Arabidopsis thaliana: one gene and its partners. The protein of the gene in region 1 interacts with the protein of each later gene in a pairwise test. Each region holds a gene or a part of one and is shown on either strand. Other genes may lie near its edges. The genes, in order: RABH1c, ATGRIP and POK.

Region 1 (4,304 bases):
GATTGCGACAGACAACAAGGCATTTTTCCTCAAATCGATTGATCCATTGTGTTCTTATAGGCTAAGCGGATCGAGCGCTTACTCAGAGACGTATGGGAACTCTTGTCTCGCAGACTCTCAGGACTTTGATGTTAAGGAAGTGGAGGTAGTTAAATTTCATCCCTCTCCTTGAAAAATAAAAGCTTTATATTTCAATATTTTGCAACACCTTTTAACTGAAACAAGCAAACAAACACACCATTGGTTGATTGATTGTTGCAGCTATGGGGATTTGTGTATGGCTCAAAGTATGATGAGATTCTAGCTCACAGCAAAACAATGGAGCCTGGTCTTTGCAGATGGTCATGATCATTATAAAGAAAACCCAAATGAATTCAACTGAGATTCGTCTTTTTGTTGTTGTTGTTGTTGTTGTTGTATAAATCTGTAGTAAAAGAAATCTTGTTGTCTTGTAACTTGGCTAAAATCACATATATGTTACTCTCTCTCACTTGTAATGATGATTTTGAAATAACAAAATAAAACCACCTATTAGGCTCATTCGGCCCATTAAGGCCCATTAAAGCATATGTGTGTGTGAAGAGGGATTAATTTTAGTGGGGAAGAATCAAAGAAGAAAAACCCTTGCTACTGCTTTTCATTTCTGACCTAAAAGCTCAGCTCCGATTTGAAAATGGGGAGTAGATTGGGAGGACGAGTGGTTCATTTCGCGAATCTTCCGATTAAGCTTCTGATGCCTGCGAAGCTGACCAACATTCACGAATTCGCGTTGAAAACGATTCCTTCCGCGTCCAAGATCGAGATCAAGCGAGTCCTGGAGTCGCTCTACGGATTCGATGTGGAGAAGGTGAATACTTTAAACATGGATGGGAAGAAGAAGAAGCGTGGTGGTTTGTTGATAGCGAAAGCTGATTACAAGAAGGCTTACGTCACGCTACGTAGTCCATTGTCGATTTCTAGGGATTTGTTTCCGGTGAAGTATATCGAGGAAGATAGGAAGAGTAAAGTGAAAGGATCTAGCTTTGTTGAGGAAGAAGATGATAAGAAGAGTCATTGGCTTGATCGTAAGGAGAAGAGGGAGATTGGTGGTTATGGTAAAGGTAAAGGTCGTCGAGGTGGTGAAAGGGCTAACTCTCCGACGAGAGGTGGTGCTGCGGCGGCGGGGACGGCCAAGTTTCCATGGAGCAACATGAGATTTGTTGGTAAGTAGGGTTTATGAGCAGATTATGATCTGGGGTTTGTGTTTCTTTAGCTATCGGATTATTGATTTTGTTGTTTCTATTACTTGAGGTTTGTGTATTGAGAATCTGAATCATTGAAGCTCTCAGTGTTTCTGAGATTTGGCTAATAAATCTGAATCAAGATGTTTCCAATTGTTTGTAATCTTTCTCTTAGTGATCTCTGATTAGCTATATGATATTTGCTGCTCCCGAGTTCTAAAGCTTTTTTTCTTAATTGCAATCTATAAGAATGCTTAAGGGGATTAACTCTGGTGATGGTGCTTTGTTTGTCTGTTCAAGTTTTGAGAAACCTCTTATTAGTCTTATTGTTTGTGGATTTGGGGCTTATGTTCAAATGTTCGATCACATTACGCAGATGCAAAACGTATGATAAAATTGTGACAAATCACTACATTAGCCAATAAATATAGTCATCTCTGATCATCCCAAAAATCTCATCACTTTGTGGACTAGTAGCTTGGTGTTTACTAAATAATTGTTAAAATAATTGTTAGTTCAGATTTTGGTATTCATTACAGATTACAACTAGGCTACTACTCACCTAGTATCTTCACAAACTAACAAAAATTTGTTTGGCTTAAAGGTCTTTTTTTGGTTTAGGTTTTAATTAATCAAATAACGATTTAAAAGATTAATGAAGAAGACTTTGATCATAGAAATTTTAGAAAACATTCATCATTAAAAAATATTATTTTTTTTAAACACAGATACACCCAACCGCATCGACGCGCTTCTTATATAAAGTCTCCGCGGAAATCGTTGAATATATTTGGGCGCGTGGCGATTTTGTGAAGGTTGTCAAGTTTGTGTGCGACCGAGTCATCGTCGTCGTGCTCTCCTTCTTCTTCATCGTCGAGACCTAAGAAAGACGAGACTCTGATTCTTCTGATCTTTGAATCACACTTTTTCTTTTTTTCCTTCTTCTTCCAACGGAACGGAACATATGGCTTCGGTTTCACCTTTGGCAAAGTTTAAACTGGTGTTCTTAGGAGACCAATCTGTCGGAAAAACCAGCATCATCACTCGTTTCATGTATGACAAATTCGACACCACGTACCAGGTATTTACACAGATTCCTTTCACTTGTTTTGTTTATTCATTTAAATTCTTCTCTGCGACAACAAGTTTCTTTTGTTTTCGTTTTTTTATTGTTTGATCTGATTCATTATTTCCTATATTACGATTGTTCAGACGATTTCATCTCATATTGGTCCTAGATTACGTCGCTGATATCACTCTGGTTTTTCTTCAATGCATTTGTTTGATCACTCTGCTCTCTGTTTTTTTGGTTGATTTATCAATCTCTTCTTCTTATTATGATCAAGATCGATGATGCTAAGCACTGTTGCTTCTTTGCTTTCTTAGTTAGTCATTAAGCCTTTATTTGTGTTCTCTCTGACTCTCTGCAGCCTACCATTGGAATCGATTTTCTATCGAAAACAATGTACCTCGAAGATCGAACAGTTCGTTTGCAGCTATGGTGAGAACAATGTTACTTTTGCTCTTTACCTAAAAACTAACATGTTAATTTCAAAAGCAATAACAAAACAAGTTTTGATTGAAAGGGATACTGCTGGACAAGAAAGATTCAGGAGTCTAATCCCAAGTTACATCAGAGATTCTTCTGTTGCCATTGTTGTATACGATGTATCCAGTAAGTCCACCTTTGTTTCTCTCTTTGATTCACCTTCTTTTTTGTGTTCTTATGTGTTCAATCAATACTTTGTGTTGCAGATAGGCAAACGTTTCTGAATACCTCGAAATGGATTGAGGATGTTCACAGAGAAAGAGGTCAAAGCAATGTTATCATCGTTCTTGTTGGAAACAAAACTGATCTTGTTGAAAAACGGTAAATACAAACATTAAGCAAAGAATTGGATGGGATGGACTATATAATTCTCTCTTGTCTTATATATGTCAATCTTGATATAATGAAAAACAGGCAAGTATCAATCAGTGAAGGAGAAGACAAGGGTAAAGAGTATGGAGTGATGTTCATTGAGACCAGTGCCAAAGAAAACTTCAACATTAAGGTATGACAAAACTTCAACAAAGAGTATGGAGTGATGTTCATTTGAGTGTTTCTTGTTGTCTGATTTCTAAACACACCAAATCTCTTCAATTTGCAGGCTTTGTTCCGGAAGATTGCTGCAGCTTTACCCGGGGTAGACTCATATTCATTGGCAACAAAATCAGATGACATGGTTGATGTGAATCTAAAGACCACTTCAAATTCATCACAAGGTGAGCAACAAGGAGGAGCAGGTGGTGGTGGAGGCTGTTCTTGTTGATTCAAAAATACATAATTCCAAAACTTGTGAAGCAAACAAAAGGGATCACGTTAGTTTTGTGGTTTTCATCTTATTAACTGACACAGAATATAAAACATCAAAGAGAAAAGGATTACTATTTTTACACATGTGAATCTTTTGCCTTGTTCTGTATTTGATCTGTTTTAGACATTGACGGTAGCAGAATACAAAACCTTATTCTGATCACCACCAAATGAACCAAAGGGAGAAGGATCAACTGTGGTGACAGCTTCCTTCCACTCAATTGTACCCCAAATCTCACCTTTCGAACGAAATCTCGGCACACCAAACATCCAATCTCTCATCATCATCATTACGCTCAAGCCAGAAGAGAACAATGTTCACACCAAAACTGTTCACTTGACTGATATTCTTAGAGCCTCCAAACCTTTAACTATCTTCCATTCTGATTCCTCAGACTCTTGCCAAAACACTCACCGGAAGCTCATATCGGTACCGTATAACAACAATTCCTCAACTACACAATAACTCAAAAGATGTGGCCTATTCGTTCTTCCCCATTTACCATCACTGGGAGAGTAATAAACACTTCCTTCAAACCATTTCACTCCGTAAACCTTGTCTTCCTTAACAAGGCTTCCATTGGCGTTTGTTTTGGCCACTACGATTATCGGCGGGAAGGTTTTGTTGTTTCTTCTCTTCTTGGAAAACGAAAAACGTTATCCTTTATTTGTTCTTCTCTTGTTTTACTTTTTTATTGAGCCTTCAAACATTCGTTAGTGTTATCAAC
Region 2 (7,682 bases), on another chromosome or scaffold:
CACAAATAGATTAATTATTCGATAGGATCTCTGAAATTTCACCTGCCAGGAGCTTCAGCATCCCAACCACACCGAAAATGGAGCGGATTTTAGGGACACGCAAAGAGTTGCATTCTGCTACTTGATCTGAGACAGGCAAGAGGATGCATTACACATACATGCATAAGAGAACAAAAAGATTCCAATATAACGAGGCAAAAACAGGAAACACACCAATGAGCTTCATGGAGCCGTCAAGACGACTAATATCCAAACATGAAGCGGAGGAACCATCGGTTGGCTCGATGACGTACTGATCAGGGAATTCCCACAAACGCAAGCCAGAGTGTATCTTGAGCCTACTCACCATGGCTTCCAGCAAGAGGAAGAAGAACCAATCACCTTCTTCGTTACGAGATTTGAAACTAGTAGGCGAAATGAATTCCGCTCAATTAAAATGGCCTTCAAGGCAGTGAGAGTGAGACCCGTTCAAATTGATTCCGTACATAACGGTTGACCAATAACAACAAGTCGACGACCGTTATTATTATACTATCTTTGTAGTTAATTTTGCGTTGACTTTTTTAGTTTCATTAATTCCGATAATCAGCGGTTTTCTGCATGATTACAATAGACTCCATTAAAAATGGCCCAACAACTCAATTCAGTGGCTTATCCTTTCTTTACATCTGGACAAAAAGTGTTTTCTTGACTTTTAGTGTTCATTACACAAAAACGAAGGACTTAAACACAATGTCGTATGTATGTGTATGTATCTTGGCCCAAAAGAATGTGTCCAGTGCCCACCCGACTATGAAAACGAGAATCTTGAGAAGACTGATAGACCTGAACCCTCACTTGCCGGACTTGGAGTCGCCTCTGTTGTTGTTGCCGCTGTTGTTGAGCTATGGTAGGCTTGCTGACACTTCTGGATCTCCTCTGGACTGAACTGCAGCAACATCCCCACTACAGGTAGTAAAGCCTCCACTTCACCTGCAATTATCACAAGTTAATTTACCCCTAAAACATCTACTTCGTGAATCCACCTTTAATCTCCAGGTTTTTTAACCTGTTTCTAGCAGTTTTAATATCACATTCTTTAGGTATGTCATATCCACGCCTTCTCTCTTCTGTTTTCTTTCCATCTCCCTCAACTCCGTCTTTAGCACTGCTTCCTGTAATTTAGCATACCACCGGAAGTTTGAAATAAGATCCTAAGAAACTGGCAAAGCAACCAAACTCTCGTGTAATCACATACCTGTTGACTGTGAAGACGGTTTTCTCGTTCAAGCTCCTCGATTTCCTCCTGATTCAGAATAAACAGTTACTAATTGCAACATGTGCAGAAACAGATCAATGCAACCAATTCTACTACACCTGAAGAGCTAAAATATGGCGCTGTGTCTGTGCTAACTCTTCTTCTCTCTGAGCTTGTTGCCTTGCCAATATCTGAAATTTGATTATTATGTGTCATGATTAGCTCTCACTGATTTGTCCCGTAGGCCATAGCATTACATTTGAAGGAAATTAAGTTCTAGGATTAAAGATCGCTCCTTGCTCACACAAGCAGACAGCTAACATTACAAAATCCTACCAGAATCTGGTGCTCTGCTGCAGAAGTGCTCAAGTTAGATACATCCTGCTGTTGTGACTCTGAAACCCCGTTTAAAGAAAATAATAGGTTATTGATGACAGGGAACCCACTGATTCATTCATATAGGGAGCCCTTATTAAAAAAATATGGTATCAGGAAAACATCTTGTACCTGTGTTGTTGTTCCCATAGTGGTGAACCTGGGATGGAGATTTGTTCCACTTAATGCCACATGAAGAGTGAAAAGTTTCAGTGCAAATTAAATGAAAAGTTACTAGCGTAAAACCAAAGATAAAAAGGAGAAGTAAGGTAATAAGCAAAAAAAAAAAAAAAAAGAACCATCCACATACTACTGGTTTTGACTCCATAGATTTTCGAAGATTTGTCATCTCATCCACAAGTCTCGATATCTCTCGATCCTTCTCCTCAATGAGTCTATCTGCAAGCTCACGTACTGATTCATGCTCCTCCTGCAGGTATGTCAGTTAGACAAAAAAACTTTTTTATGAGTATAACAAAAAGTGATTTACCTTCATTCGTTTATTCCGCAGTTTGGCATTTTCTAGTTCTTTTTCTATACCTTCTGCAGGTGAGGCTTCATTTTGAGCGGTCAAAGCTTCACATCTTCCTATAGATTACTGTAGCCTTTTAGGAAGGGAATTTCAATTTCCAAGAACTAATGAAAAAACCGAATTTAGATTTGAATCAATTACGTCGCCATGTTTCTTCTAAAACCCGAAGGTCTTCTTCCCAAGCTTGTTTCTCCGCCTGATTGCGAGCAACAGTGGAGTCAAGCTTCACTTCAAGACTTTTGATCTGCTCGCTGGCATCTTTAAGTGCTCCAGCTCTGAAATATATATGAAACAAAAATAGCTCAGACGACCAATATATGTCTGAAGAACTCCATAACCAGTCCCCTGAGAACACCATTTCTCAGTTGTTTTCTCTGGCAAATTGAGGAGAATGAGCAGCCAACCTCCGGAATCAAACATGAAAAAGATTCAGTGTCAATATATACCTCTCTTCAAGTTCTTTCTCAAGGCTAGCCAAAGCACTCTGAAGATCTTGCTGTGCCCTATCCCTCTCTGCAGATACCAAATATACTTCTTTTTCAGCTTCCTAACACCACCCAAAAAGATAATTAGTTGGTAAGCACCTTGGCAACCATCTAAAAATATCTCCATCTTAAGATTCTAGATAACTTACCTTTAGAGCTTCCTCAAGAGATTTAATTTGTTCAGAGTCTTTAGCTGCAGCCAGCTCCATGTCCTTCTTTTGCAAAAGCGCGTGAGCACGGATCTTGTAAGAAGAGAATTCACTTTGGAGCCGGTTGATCTGTGAACAGTTACAAGGAATTCAATATGGTTAAATGAAGACTAGCTAAAGCAGAACATTCCTTAAAGCTCAAAATGGCTCTTTGATTCCATAATAATTCACGTTATGTGATTAAGAATGGATGACTAATAAATTCGTTCACCTAACCAAGGCTACAATAGTTTCCAAAAGAACCAAAAGAAAACTATGTACCTCTTCTCTTGCACCTTTGAGTTCCGCATCTTTTGTGCTTAGTATCTGGGTCTGCATGGACATTTCAGATCCCAGCTGACCTGACAATTTATATGAATGAAATGTCTATAGTCCATAGACAAAAGTAAAACATAACTAGATTAGTTCAACGTTTATGAACTCCGTCAATTACTTCTCATTTTAGCCACTTCGATTTCGGCCTGTAAGTAGTTGCTTTCAGCGATTTCCAGTTTAGATTTAAGGGCATCGCATGAAGCTTCCCAAGTCTCCTTTTCCTTTTCCTAAAGGAACAAAAAAAAATCATGGCTTCTATGAATTACAACAAAAGAAAATAGAGGAATTTATATGGCCAAACAAATAGAAACTCTAAACATGCTGTCTGATGACAGACTGACGCCTTAGATCATGTTTACAATTATCTATACGCACTCCTATATTCATTCCCTGGTTAAAACCATGCTAGTAAATCTGCTAAATGATGGAAATCATTTGACGAGTAGTATGCAAAACAATGTCTTAGAATATACGAATGGGCAACAATAACGAAGGACAAATGACAGTTGGCATCAGAGAGTCCTGCGAATCCATCTTTAAACATTCCACTTACATTCTCTGATTTAAGGTGTGCAAGCTCTCCTTTAAGAGTTTCTGCAGCAGCCCTTAGCCTTGCTGCTTCGCCAGTTGCAGCTGCCTCCATCTCTGCAATTTTAGATTCCTTCTCTGCAAGCAGTACCTAAAAGAGGTGTATACTTGGTGTGAAGAATTTATCACTTATTTCAAACTATTCTCTCTCGCTCATTTGAAAACCAAAGCACATCATCCAGTAATAGAACTAAAGAATTTAGTCAAAAGACTAACCTGCAGCGACGAAATGGTTTCGGCTGCTTTGTCCCTCTCAGATAGAGCATCTACGACCTGTGCTTCCAAACCCTCTAAGTTCTGTCAAGAAGGTGGAGAGAAGAGAAAACCTTGGATGTCATTAGCGGAAAATGGTGGCTCATAGCATATAAGAAGTAACACAATCGCTGATGCTGACTACCTTTTGATGCTTGGCTGACAACTCAGTAACTGCAATTTGCTTTCTCTCTTCCACAGCTTGTAATTGCTTTTTCAGGTCCTCCAGAATCTAGGATTAAAGCAAGTACGCATATGAAGCAGAGTATACAGAGCCATCCCTCCCCCCCCCCCCCCCCCCCCCCTCTCTCTCTCTCTCTCTGTCTCTTTTGTCTCTCTATTTTTCTATATATTGCAGACTAGTATTACAGAAAATGAAAGAGATCAAACCTGGTCCTTATCAAGAAGTGACTGTTGCAATGTCTCAATCTTATTTTCTTTAGGCTGCAATGAGCCACGTAGTTCCTCGATAGTATCCCTGAGCCTGTGTAAAGAGAAAACTCCAGTACTCAAATTCTTAGAGGTAGCTGGAGAAGTGGGAAAGGCGACATTCATTTTATACAATTTCTGTAAAAATTATCTTCGAATTATTTACTTGTTATTGGCACTCCTTAGTTGTTGCCTCTCCGCATCCATTGCTTTAAGTGCTTCATTCGCCTGTTGCCTAGTGCGTTCCAGCTCTTGTTGCATGGATGAGTGTTGAGAAGATGCTCGTTCAGCTGTTTCATTCACTTCCCGGAAACGGGCGTCGAGATCATCTTTTTCCTGAAGATAGCAATATAATATACCACTGAGATTAAGACAGCACATAGCAGCGAAATCTATATGTCTGAAAATGCAGCATAGAAATTCCGAAATAGTATAAGATGGTTTTTGAAACTCACAGTAGCCTCAAAGTGGCTAAAACAGAAAGCATTATAAAATGTAGAGAAAGACATTCACCTTTTGGATTTCTTGAATGCGTTGTTTAGCCCTTTTGTGAAGCCTGGTGAATTTGGCGTCCAGGTCGGCATATTTCTCGTCGCGCTCTTTGATTTCCTGGTCCAGTTTCTGTTCAACTACACCAACAATGTAATAGCACAAGTTGAGAAAAGGCAAACACTGGTTCCGGTCAATGAATGAGCAAATAGAAAAGATGGCTTCTGACCTTGGGAAAACTTAGAGGAGTATTCTTGGGATTTAGCATCAGCCTCAGAGTATGCTTCCCTTAGATGCTCAAGAGCTTGCTCAGCTGCAACTCGAGTTTGTTTTTCCACATCAATTTCTCTGCTCAATGATGCGACCTGTTCTTGAAGTTGTTTCAGCTGAGCAGAGTCCGCTTCCACTTGCTCAGCTTTCTGGAGAGACCTACCTTGCGCTACCTCATCCTTGAGTCCCTCAAATTGGGATCTGAGAAAGTCATTTTCTAATCTCAGTTCAGCAATCATTTGGAGTAGCTGATCACCATTTTCTGTCAGAGTCTCGTTGGAGGCATCATTTAACTCTTTATCTTCTTTGATCACATGGCTCTCCTCTTCTTCTCCAACCACATCAGATTCCTTGTCTTCGGACATCTTGGCAGAGCAGATGTCAGAAAGATGAACCCAGACACTCAAGAGAGCGACGACAACTAGTAAGCGCAAAATCGGGATTTGAATCAACAATCAAAAGAGAAAGGAGTCAAGTCGTGAAATTCGAATAAACCAGCAAAAGCAACGCAAGGAGAAGAGAGATTTGAATGTAATCAGTGCCAGAGAAGAAGCTTACCTTGAGGTGAGGGATTAGAGAAGAGTGTGGAGGCAGAGAGAGAGAGGTCACAAACAAGGAATCACGATTTCGAAATATTGGATCGGATCTCAACCCAAAGGTTAAAAACGTCGTCGTCTCTTTCCCGTCGATCAGTGAGACGGTAAAACGTTGATCTGATCGACTGACGAAGAATGGTAAGAATTGTGTAAAGGGTGTTTTACTAATGAATAATTGCATTCAGAAGCCTTAAACCTTTTGAAAATTCATCAAGTAAACCCAAGACGAGGTTAGCTAAAATGATGCCGTTTTGGAATGGTAATATGAAAATATGAAGGACAGTCCGAAAACAGCTTAGCCCATAAAGCAGCAACTTAGGCCCATTATGTATTTGTAATATATGGCCCAATTATAATCACTTTCCCAACTAATTTATATAAAATGAAATTATTGAAGTCTTTGTCCAGTCAAATATAATAATAAGCCATTGAAAAAAATGGCGGAGGAGAGCAGAGTCCCATCATCGGTGTCGGTAACAGTCGCCCACGACCTTCTTCTAGCCGGCCACCGCTATCTAGACGTCAGGTACCGCCCCACCTTTCTCTTTTGACTATTTCAATCATCAACATAGCATCATTAGGATCTTGATGTAATGGGGATGATGAATATAGGACTCCAGAAGAGTTCAGCCAGGGACATGCCTGTGGGGCGATCAACGTGCCTTACATGAATCGAGGAGCATCAGGTATGTTTTTATTTGGTTAGTTGATAACTGAGTGATGGATATAATTTTGTGATTGTGAAACAGGGATGTCAAAGAACCCCGACTTCCTGGAACAAGTCTCCTCCCATTTCGGACAATCCGATAACATCATTGTTGGCTGCCAGAGCGGTGGTAGATCTATCAAAGCCACCACCGATCTTCTCCATGCAGTAAGCTCCACCACAAAGCTCTTCTTTCTGACTTTTACTTTGTTGGTGATATATAATTTGCGAATTTGCAGGGTTTCACGGGAGTCAAAGATATCGTCGGTGGCTATAGTGCCTGGGCCAAGAATGGCCTTCCTACAAAGGCTTGATGACTCACCATTCACCAAACATCTTTCCTTATCTCTTCGTCTCCTTCTTCTTCAATAATGCATCCTTTCCGCATGTAATCATCAATAAATGACCCTCCTTTCTCTTTGCTGTCTGATGTGATAGCTTGGAGGGAGGGGCTCATCGCATCTTTTTAAAATATATAAAAATACGAGTGTGTGTTGATTGCATCGAAATCTCTATATATATAGTTTAAAAAAAAAATCAATTAGAAAGGAGAAAGGAGCATCCGATCAACGATTATATCTACAAGATTGTTACCTTAAAGGTCCATCTGTTCTTGGCAACAGACAATATATGTGTATATATTGAGTGATCGATGAGTACACAAAGACAACAACACCATATCAACAACTCGATCGTGTGTACAAAACAAGTGGTGTGACCTAACGAGGCAAACTTCAAAATACGAGAGAAGCGACGAGAGAGGACTGAGATATTGACACGGCTCAATCAGATGAGTTAGTAAAAGAGAATCTGAGTGAACCAGGCCAATATCAGAGGGACTCTCTCGGAAACATAGTGTATCTGTTTTGTAAAAGAAACAAGAACGCAAGTGAGAGAATGTCTGTAACTGTAAGGAGATTAAGAAGAAGAAGGGAGTGAATGTGCAACTGCAATTCTGCGAAGCATTTAATAACTCTGCTACTCTCAATGCACCAAAGCTGGGCCACCTCTTTTATTTTTCTAACTTTAACCCGAAAACCAAGTGAATAAGGGAGTGTTGTGTAACCATCGTTTCAGGGGAAATCATTCACGTTTCTTTTAACTTACTGCTTAGTCTTCCACAAGTAGACATTTATGAAGGCACAACAATCCACATCTCTTCTTTCCCACTGTATGTAACCGTCCCTCTTTCGTTTTGT
Region 3 (7,666 bases), on another chromosome or scaffold:
GATCCAGATTCATGTGCTAAAACTGACAGAGAAGCAATGCCCTTGGTTTTTCTAGTCAATGTTTTTGGTTCTCGAACTGATATAATAGTAACAGAATATAGAGAACGCAGAATAAAAATCTTATCTTACACTAAAAGCTGTCTTCATCACTGCAAATTCAGCTTTTGTGACAGGAACCACAAAATAGTCATTGGTTTTGAGGATGCTATTGTTAACGCCTGCAACAAAACCGCAGAAGGTAAGTGTTTATACAGCATTAAGAATTCAGCATTCCTATTGTTATAAGACAGCTATTCTGTGCGAAAACTGTTATCGCCATATTACAAAACTAATACAAGTGCAAGCTTCTAAATTTACTAAACAGAAAGCTCCCATAACTAAGTATTTCAGTACTGATTATCCATGTTAATTTGATAGAAGCCTTACTCAATGAGATGAAGTAGCCGCTACCATCTGCGTGGGGCTTAACTGACAGTGACTTCCTGACTTGACCAGCATTACTGAGGAGTCAAAGACAAGTCTATGTCAGAACATGAAAATGCTGCGATAAAAATATAATGTATTGAAGCAAAAAAAGACAAACCTTGATTTCATGGAAGGGTCATGGAAAAACTCGGAGCTGTCTTTGGAACCCATGCTAATTAAGGATCCAACTTCAGTAGGTGACAAAGCAAATTTCTGCAATAATGTAGGAAACAAACCAAATTTATCAGAGGAGAAAGAAGAGACAAGTGAAGAAGATAGAGAGTGTGAAAAAGATCAATACCTGTTTCTTTTCCCAGTCGTACTTACGCTCACCAATAGCAGGCATAAAAGTCATCATTAAGGATCCACGACGATCTATCCGAAGATTTCCCGACTAAACAATTGTACTCACAGTAAGTAATGAGAATCTAAAAGAAGCCTTTAAAGAGAACACACAAAACTAAAAAGAAATGGATTTTGGGCTTACATCGATTTCAGTGAAACTGGGAAGAACAGGTTCAACAGAGAGAGCAGCTTTTCCTTTGAAGATAGAATAAGGTGCGAACAATCGACCACTAGGCTTTGCGGCATCTTCTCAAATCAAGCAAACAAAATTAGGGCAAGTACACTTAAACTGACGAAACGGAAACAAACCAAGTTCTTACCTTTACCAGGGAATCCACGTCCAGGGGTTGAAGAATTTGACCAGCTTGCAAAACCACGCAACGTCGAAGCTTCGAAAAGTGACTTACTTTGGTCACAAAGGCTCCTGCTTTAACAAAAACAAACCAACCCAGAGAAGCCATTTTAAGAGTAATGAAATCTAAAATCTGAATTTTGAGAGGAACTGAAGTAACCTGGAGAGCAAAGAGCGGGCTTGCTTCATCATCTTCTTCTGTCTCGAGTAAAAAGCATCACTTGAGGTCTTCCGACTTCTGAGGTTTTATGATTTATCAAAACGGGTTTTATCGGGCGACCCATATTTTAACCCGTTTGTTTTATATATAAGTCTTTTAACGGCCCAATGGGCCTTTATTGTTGATTGGGAAATTAAAAATCAGATTAGAGAAGACGAACGAATCTGAGAAAGGTGAAGCTGAAGAAGAAGAAGAAGAAGAAGAAGAAGAAGAAGAAGAAGAAGAAGACTCTCTAATGGCGGACTCAAACTGATTTCGAGGATTCTGATTTCGTTTTCTAGTTGAAGATCTTTCAACTCTTAATCTCATTAGGAAGATGTCCGACATTTCCATTGACGCATTGGTACTTCATTTTTTTTGCATTCGTGATCTTCTAGCCTTAATCATGGATCCTTTATGATCTCTTGTCTAATTCGCTTTGCTCTTCTATCTGAAATTCATAGGGCCAAACTATGGGGGACTTTAGTAATCATGAGAAACTTGGATTTGATTTAGGAGCATTTGTTGGAGACTTGGCTTTTGAAGAAGATTCAGGCAGGTAACGTTCTCATGTTTTGTATCTTAATTCGACTATAACATATGTTTCTGCTTCTCTTTGTTCTTCTGATTAGAATGCTCTCCTTTGATTTGTTTGGCAGTGAGGATATTTCATTGGAAGGGCTTCAACAAGAACTTGAAGAATGTGAAAGTGATGAGGTAAGTTATTCACTTAACTGAGATCAAACTTATAAAGCTAGCACCTCGGTTCTTCTTTTTCGAAGTATTGTTTCTACTCTCATTTGAGTTACTTTGGAGTACATGGATTGATCATAGAATGTTAGATCCATGGATATGATGTCCTTTCTATCTTGTTTGTGTGAAATGTCAGGTTGTTGCCAATATACTGTCTAGTGGTGACAAACTTAGAGAATATGCAAAAGGGGTTGAAAACAATCTACGCAAGGTTGAATTGGATTCAATCGAGGTTGTTATTCTCTACCTGTGCTACATTGTGGCACTTGTTGTTTTCTACTTTTTATGTACTTCCGTCTATAAGTTCGGGAATTTCTTTGATATCGTAAGTAACTAACTTAAATGCTTTACATTCCATGAATACTCAGGATTACATAAAGGAAAGTGACAACCTAGTCTCACTTCACGATCAGATTCGTGACTGTGACAGCATCCTGTCACAAATGGAAACTCTTCTCAGTGGATTTCAGGTATTTGAAAATTAGACATTTATATAATTTGTGTGTATGTATGTGCTTCTTTCTCCTTATTCTGACTTTTGCTTAATGGGAGGAATTTTTTTACTTTGAAATACATATATTTTTTCCTGGTAATCTAAATGTGCACTTTGCTTCTTTTCTTTCAGGAAGAGATTGGTTCTATAAGTTCAGACATAAAGATTCTTCAAGAAAAGTCAATGGACATGGGTTTGAGATTGAAAAACCGCAGGGTATAGCTAATCAGAAACCACTATTGGTATTATCTCTTGCTGCTTTCACTCGTGACTCATCCAAATGAACTCTTCTATTTGAATAGGTGGCTGAATCAAAGCTAGCAAAATTTGTCGAAGACATTATAGTGCCACCAAAGATGATAGATGTAATTGTTGACGGAGAGGTATTTTTCAAATTCACTTTTTATGTAGCTTTGGTAGGGTTGGAGATTTGTAGGAATTTTGTAGGATCTCGTCATGTTGTATACATGTCTAATTTTTCTTTTTGTTTCTGGTGCTATAAGAATTACTGATTTGGTGCATATGTTGTAATCTGAAACATGGAGGAAAAATAGAAAAACAACATTTTCTGGTTAAGCTTGGTATATGCTTCCCCTATGTGCAATACTAAAATTTATTAAATTTTCTTCATTTTGTTTTCTTACACCATTTAGTCCTATCTTTATGTCCCCTGAGTACGTGTTTTTTTTGTAAAACCATAGTGGTGCATTTAAGCCTAGGTTGGATTGCTGAGGGTATTTTTATTGCTAATCTGATAGTCGTATTATTTTCCTTATTCAGGTGAATGAAGAGTATATGAAAACGCTTGAAATTCTGAGTAAGAAGCTAAAATTTGTAGAAGCAGATCAGGCAGTTAAAAGTTCCAAAGCGTTAAAAGATGTAGAGCCTGAGCTCGAAAAGCTTCGGCAGAAAGCTATTTCCAAGGTTATTGATCTACTTTCTCTGTTACTTGATACCAAAAACTTATATATTTCGCTGAAGGGAGTGTGATAGGTCCAAACATAACTGTACCTATTGACTCTCAAAACACACTGATACATGCATATTTCTTAAAGTTGTTAATTGTTTGATAAAAAACTACAGAAAAGTTAAGTTCCTGATATAACTCAACTTATTCTACCTCAATGAGATGAATCATTGTTCCTTCCCTCTGAAAGAATTTATGGCCAGGAAAAAGTTGCCATCTGCGATAAATTCAACTTTTAGTTCTGTATTAAGTCATTTGTGTTTGTTCTCGTCCAATGCTGAAAGGGCATGCACGACTGCACGTCGATGGAGCATTCTAAATTTGTTCTCATGCAATAGATTTAAATTCGTTTTGCAGGTGTATGATTTTATTGTCCAGAAGCTTATAGCCCTGAGGAAACCCAAAACAAACATTCAGATTCTTCAACAGAGTGTGTTATTAAAGTACAAGTGAGTTATGCTCTCCAAGCCCCTTTAATTGGTTTTGACGTAGTGAAACTACAAATTGTACAACGTCTCCTGTCTTGCATGTATGTTTCTGTTAACTTTTTCTGCATGTGTATGTGGTCATCACCTTACAAACGTTTTGGTTAGTTATCTTGGTTTGGATTTTCCCTTTGTGATGTTGACGGAGTTGTTTTATTTTACATGTTACTGATATCCAACTTGATATTATATTGCTTCTACAAGACTTATGTGGATACATACTTCATTCACCAATTACAATTTAATGATAGGTATATTATCTCCTTCCTCAAGGAACATGGAAAAGAAGTGTTTATGGATGTTCGTGCTGCATACATTGATACCATGAACAAGGTGATATTCTTTATCTTGTTTGATTTCTTACACTATGCTGCAACTCCTTTATATAGTCTTAGTTGAATGAGGAAGAATACACAGATAGATTTGACTAAGGTTATTCTCCGCATATGCAAGGTAGTGGATACAACATCCAATTGTACGTTACATGCAAGTAATTCTTCTATTCTTGTTTTCTAACTATAATTGGACAAAGCTAGTTGGTTAGATAAAAATGCTGTTTGCTAGCTTAGGCTTTTAAATGTTATTACACCTTATGTATTGTATGATCTTGTTTCAGGTGTTAAGTGCACATTTTCGTGCTTATATTCAAGCACTTGAGAAACTACAGTTAGATATAGCCACAGCATATGACTTAATTGGGGTAGAGACCAGAACCACCGGCCTCTTCTCAAGAGCTAGGGAGCCACTAAAGAACCGCTCTGCCGTTTTTGCTTTGGGTGACAGGATAAAAATTATAAAGGTATGCATCATTCAGCAGTTATCATTTTTTGATTGATTTTTTCGACCATTCTACATGCTCTGGCGAATTTGTTATATAAAATGAGTTGCTCTTCTGACTCTTTAATACAAAAGATGGTACTAGGTCTGCGTCTTTACAAATAAAGTATAAGTTATATTAATGTATTGTACACCATAAGTTTTATTGAGGAGTGCCCACTTTGGTTTTGGTTCAGATATTTTAGTCTTAGGTTATAAATTATAGGAATCAAATATTTTGGTTCATTTCAGTTTTGGTTTTTACGATATGTATCCTTAATTTTAAAGGCTCCTCAAATAGATGGAAGTTTCGATTTGTTTTTCTCATTTTCAATTTGGATTAGTGTGGTATCAATTTGTTTTTTTTTGCTATAGAAGAAGTAAATCCAAAGTTTGTTTGGTTTAACAATATTCGTTAAAAGACTTAAGTTTCAGTATGACCGCTGTAGGATATTGATCAACCTGCTTTGATCCCGCACATAGCCGAAGCCAGCTCTCTCAAATATCCTTATGAAGTGCTCTTCAGGAGCCTGCACAAGCTACTTATGGATACAGCTACTTCTGAGTTCTGTTGATTTTTCCCCTTTTATATTTGTGTTATTGTCGCTCATCGCTCAACCCCCTGGTTAACGTCATTTGTTTTCATTTTAACAGGTATATGTTTTGTGATGATTTCTTTGGTGAAGAGTCCATATTCTATGAAATTTTTGCGGGTAATTTCTAATCTGTCTCCCTTCCTTTTGCTGTACCAAACTTTGTGGATTTTGTTAGCTGTGTAGAAGAACATCTGTTTTTCCTGTAATACTGGTATACCAAATTTGATATGGTGTTGAGCAGCGTGTAAGAAATTATCTTCTCTTCTTCCGGATAGAAAGCTGAACCTCTTGTACTTTACAATGGATATGATAATTGTAGCAGTTTTTTGGATAAATTCTAAAATTTAAATGATACAGGTCCATTTTCTGTCATCGATGAGCACTTCAATCCCGTTCTTTCAAACTGTTTTGATGCTATTGGCCTGATGCTTATGATTCGCATAATACACCACCACCAGGTATTAACGATGACCTAACTACTAGTTTATCTGCGTTTTGGTGAATATCTTGGAATTAGGTAATTTATTTAGCTTCTTCCCTTTTGAACTTTTCTAGTCTCCCACATATGTGAGAATGCATTGAAGTATGGTTAGATATTTATCAACTTGGCATTGGAAAGAGTTCTCTTAATATCTTGCAAACTAACGATGTAGATATACCTTCAACTGGTCCACATAGGCGTATTACAACCAGTCTATATTTTTTCTCAACAGTATGATAATCTAGTGTAGCTTATATTACTTATTTTCATGATCCAGCCTTTTGCAAGGGTCATGATGGTATTATATGTCCACTAATAGTTAAGCAATACTTTCCCACCTTTTTTACAGCTTATCATGTCTCGCCGGAGAATTCCATGCCTGGACTCATATCTGGACAAGGTTCATACCTCTCTATCTCTTTTATTATGTTTGATCAACATTTAAATATGTATGGTGCAATAAAAAGAGTTCATTATTATTGTGCTCATCTTCAGCTGTTTTCACTTGGTCGCTAAATGTTTTCTTTTTGGTATAACTTTGAAGGTCTTGTATAGATCTTAGATATAAGCTTATAGATGCGGCTATGGTTTGATTTCCTTAGGTTTCATAGTCCTCTCTCAATGAATCTTTTATTTTGGAAATTGAGCAGGTTAATATTTCTTTGTGGCCTCGTTTCAAGATGGTGTTTGACTCACACCTTAGCAGTCTGAGAGATGCAAACATTAAGACATTATGGGAAGATGATGTTCATCCTCACTATGTCATGAGGCGTTATGCTGAATTCACGGCTTCGTTTATTCACCTAAACGTTGAATATGGAGATGGGCAGGTTCGTTATAAGATTGCTTCTGTCTCTAGTGATATGTATTACCTGTTCTCATCACTCAAATCGCTTGACACTATATATGAACCGCTGCAGCTTGATATAAATCTGGAGCGGTTAAGAATGGCTGTAGATGGGTTGATTCTCAAGCTTGCAAAGTTGTTCCCAAGGCCAAAGCAGCAAATTGTGTTTCTCATAAATAACTACGATATGACAATCGCTGTACTGAAGGTGAGTTGAATCCTTGGCCGTCTCATGTTAAGTGCACCCATGTGGACCAGTGTTTTCTTGGTTTGAAATGGCTTTCTACGAATCTCAAGGCTTAACTAATTGAGTCTGACCTACCAAAAGAATCTGTTTTGATCATCTTCCTGTATTTTAGGAAGCTGGACCAGAAGGTGGGAAAATTCAAATGCATTTTGAGGAAATGCTAAAGAGTAACACTTCATTATTTGTGGTAAGGGGCAAATACTAGGTTACCTTTGTAATTTGCTTCATGGGTATAACATAAAACTGTCTTTGTAGTAGCCTAACCTTAAATCTGATGTTAACTCGTAGGAAGAACTGCTGGTGGAGCATTTCAGTGATTTGATCAAATTCGTGAAAAATCGAGCTTGTAAGCAACTTGTTTCTTTCTTTTCTTCACGTACTCATCGAGTGTTAAGTTGAAAAACCACTAAACTGTAAGATATGTGGCAGCTGAGGATTCGAGCTTAAATCCAGAGAGGTCCATTACAATTGCTGAAGTAGAGCCACTGGTGAAGGACTTTGGAAGCAGATGGAAGACAGCGATTGAGTTGATGGACAAAGACATCATAACTTCCTTCAGTAACTTCTTGTGTGGTATGGATATTTTGAGAGCTGCATTGACACAACTATTGCTCTATTAC

What was found.
Region 2: the proteins of RABH1c (region 1) and ATGRIP come close enough for resonance energy transfer, tested with the Arabidopsis thaliana proteins (one study listed by BioGRID).
Region 3: the proteins of RABH1c (region 1) and POK come close enough for resonance energy transfer, tested with the Arabidopsis thaliana proteins (one study listed by BioGRID).

The regions. Positions count from the first base shown.
Region 1 is NC_003075.7:18,503,928-18,508,231, forward strand, and holds RABH1c (RAB GTPase homolog H1C), read left to right. Parts: upstream 1-1,991; 5' UTR 1,992-2,184; coding exon 2,185-2,301; intron 2,302-2,650; coding exon 2,651-2,721; intron 2,722-2,806; coding exon 2,807-2,895; intron 2,896-2,975; coding exon 2,976-3,090; intron 3,091-3,183; coding exon 3,184-3,274; intron 3,275-3,370; coding exon 3,371-3,532; 3' UTR 3,533-3,776; downstream 3,777-4,304. Other genes in the region: AT4G39870 (TLD-domain containing nucleolar protein), read left to right, coding at 61-145, 262-348; AT4G39880 (Ribosomal protein L23/L15e family protein), read left to right, coding at 674-1,210. UniProt on the Arabidopsis thaliana protein: Protein transport. Regulator of membrane traffic from the Golgi apparatus towards the endoplasmic reticulum (ER).
Region 2 is NC_003076.8:26,404,343-26,412,024, forward strand, and holds ATGRIP (Golgi-localized GRIP domain-containing protein), read right to left. Parts: upstream 6,014-7,682; 5' UTR 5,740-6,013; intron 5,603-5,739; 5' UTR 5,547-5,602; coding exon 5,141-5,546; intron 5,052-5,140; coding exon 4,936-5,051; intron 4,759-4,935; coding exon 4,589-4,758; intron 4,478-4,588; coding exon 4,384-4,477; intron 4,226-4,383; coding exon 4,139-4,225; intron 4,039-4,138; coding exon 3,958-4,038; intron 3,833-3,957; coding exon 3,707-3,832; intron 3,381-3,706; coding exon 3,272-3,380; intron 3,180-3,271; coding exon 3,100-3,179; intron 2,908-3,099; coding exon 2,779-2,907; intron 2,692-2,778; coding exon 2,591-2,691; intron 2,420-2,590; coding exon 2,286-2,419; intron 2,201-2,285; coding exon 2,103-2,200; intron 2,043-2,102; coding exon 1,923-2,042; intron 1,794-1,922; coding exon 1,745-1,793; intron 1,633-1,744; coding exon 1,574-1,632; intron 1,429-1,573; coding exon 1,357-1,428; coding exon of another isoform or gene 1,351-1,356; exon of another isoform or gene 1,286-1,350; coding exon 1,238-1,285; and 7 more. Other genes in the region: ATSAC1B (Phosphoinositide phosphatase family protein), read right to left, coding at 43-126, 214-349; STR16 (sulfurtransferase protein 16), read left to right, coding at 6,215-6,303, 6,390-6,463, 6,527-6,651, 6,723-6,797. UniProt on the Arabidopsis thaliana protein: Golgi matrix protein playing a role in tethering of vesicles to Golgi membranes and in maintaining the overall structure of the Golgi apparatus.
Region 3 is NC_003070.9:26,862,038-26,869,703, forward strand, and holds the start of POK (Vps52 / Sac2 family), read left to right. Parts: upstream 1-1,549; 5' UTR 1,550-1,698; coding exon 1,699-1,725; intron 1,726-1,825; coding exon 1,826-1,920; intron 1,921-2,020; coding exon 2,021-2,078; intron 2,079-2,250; coding exon 2,251-2,346; intron 2,347-2,482; coding exon 2,483-2,584; intron 2,585-2,739; coding exon 2,740-2,823; intron 2,824-2,909; coding exon 2,910-2,990; intron 2,991-3,387; coding exon 3,388-3,531; intron 3,532-3,931; coding exon 3,932-4,023; intron 4,024-4,310; coding exon 4,311-4,392; intron 4,393-4,675; coding exon 4,676-4,858; intron 4,859-5,324; coding exon 5,325-5,440; intron 5,441-5,529; coding exon 5,530-5,588; intron 5,589-5,828; coding exon 5,829-5,929; intron 5,930-6,301; coding exon 6,302-6,352; intron 6,353-6,602; coding exon 6,603-6,782; intron 6,783-6,872; coding exon 6,873-7,007; intron 7,008-7,158; coding exon 7,159-7,233; intron 7,234-7,334; coding exon 7,335-7,392; intron 7,393-7,475; and 1 more. Other genes in the region: ATWHY2 (WHIRLY 2), read right to left, coding at 130-218, 427-500, 584-678, 767-859, 953-1,056, 1,131-1,234, 1,323-1,354. UniProt on the Arabidopsis thaliana protein: Acts as a component of the GARP complex that is involved in retrograde transport from early and late endosomes to the trans-Golgi network (TGN). The GARP complex facilitates tethering as well as SNARE complex assembly at the Golgi.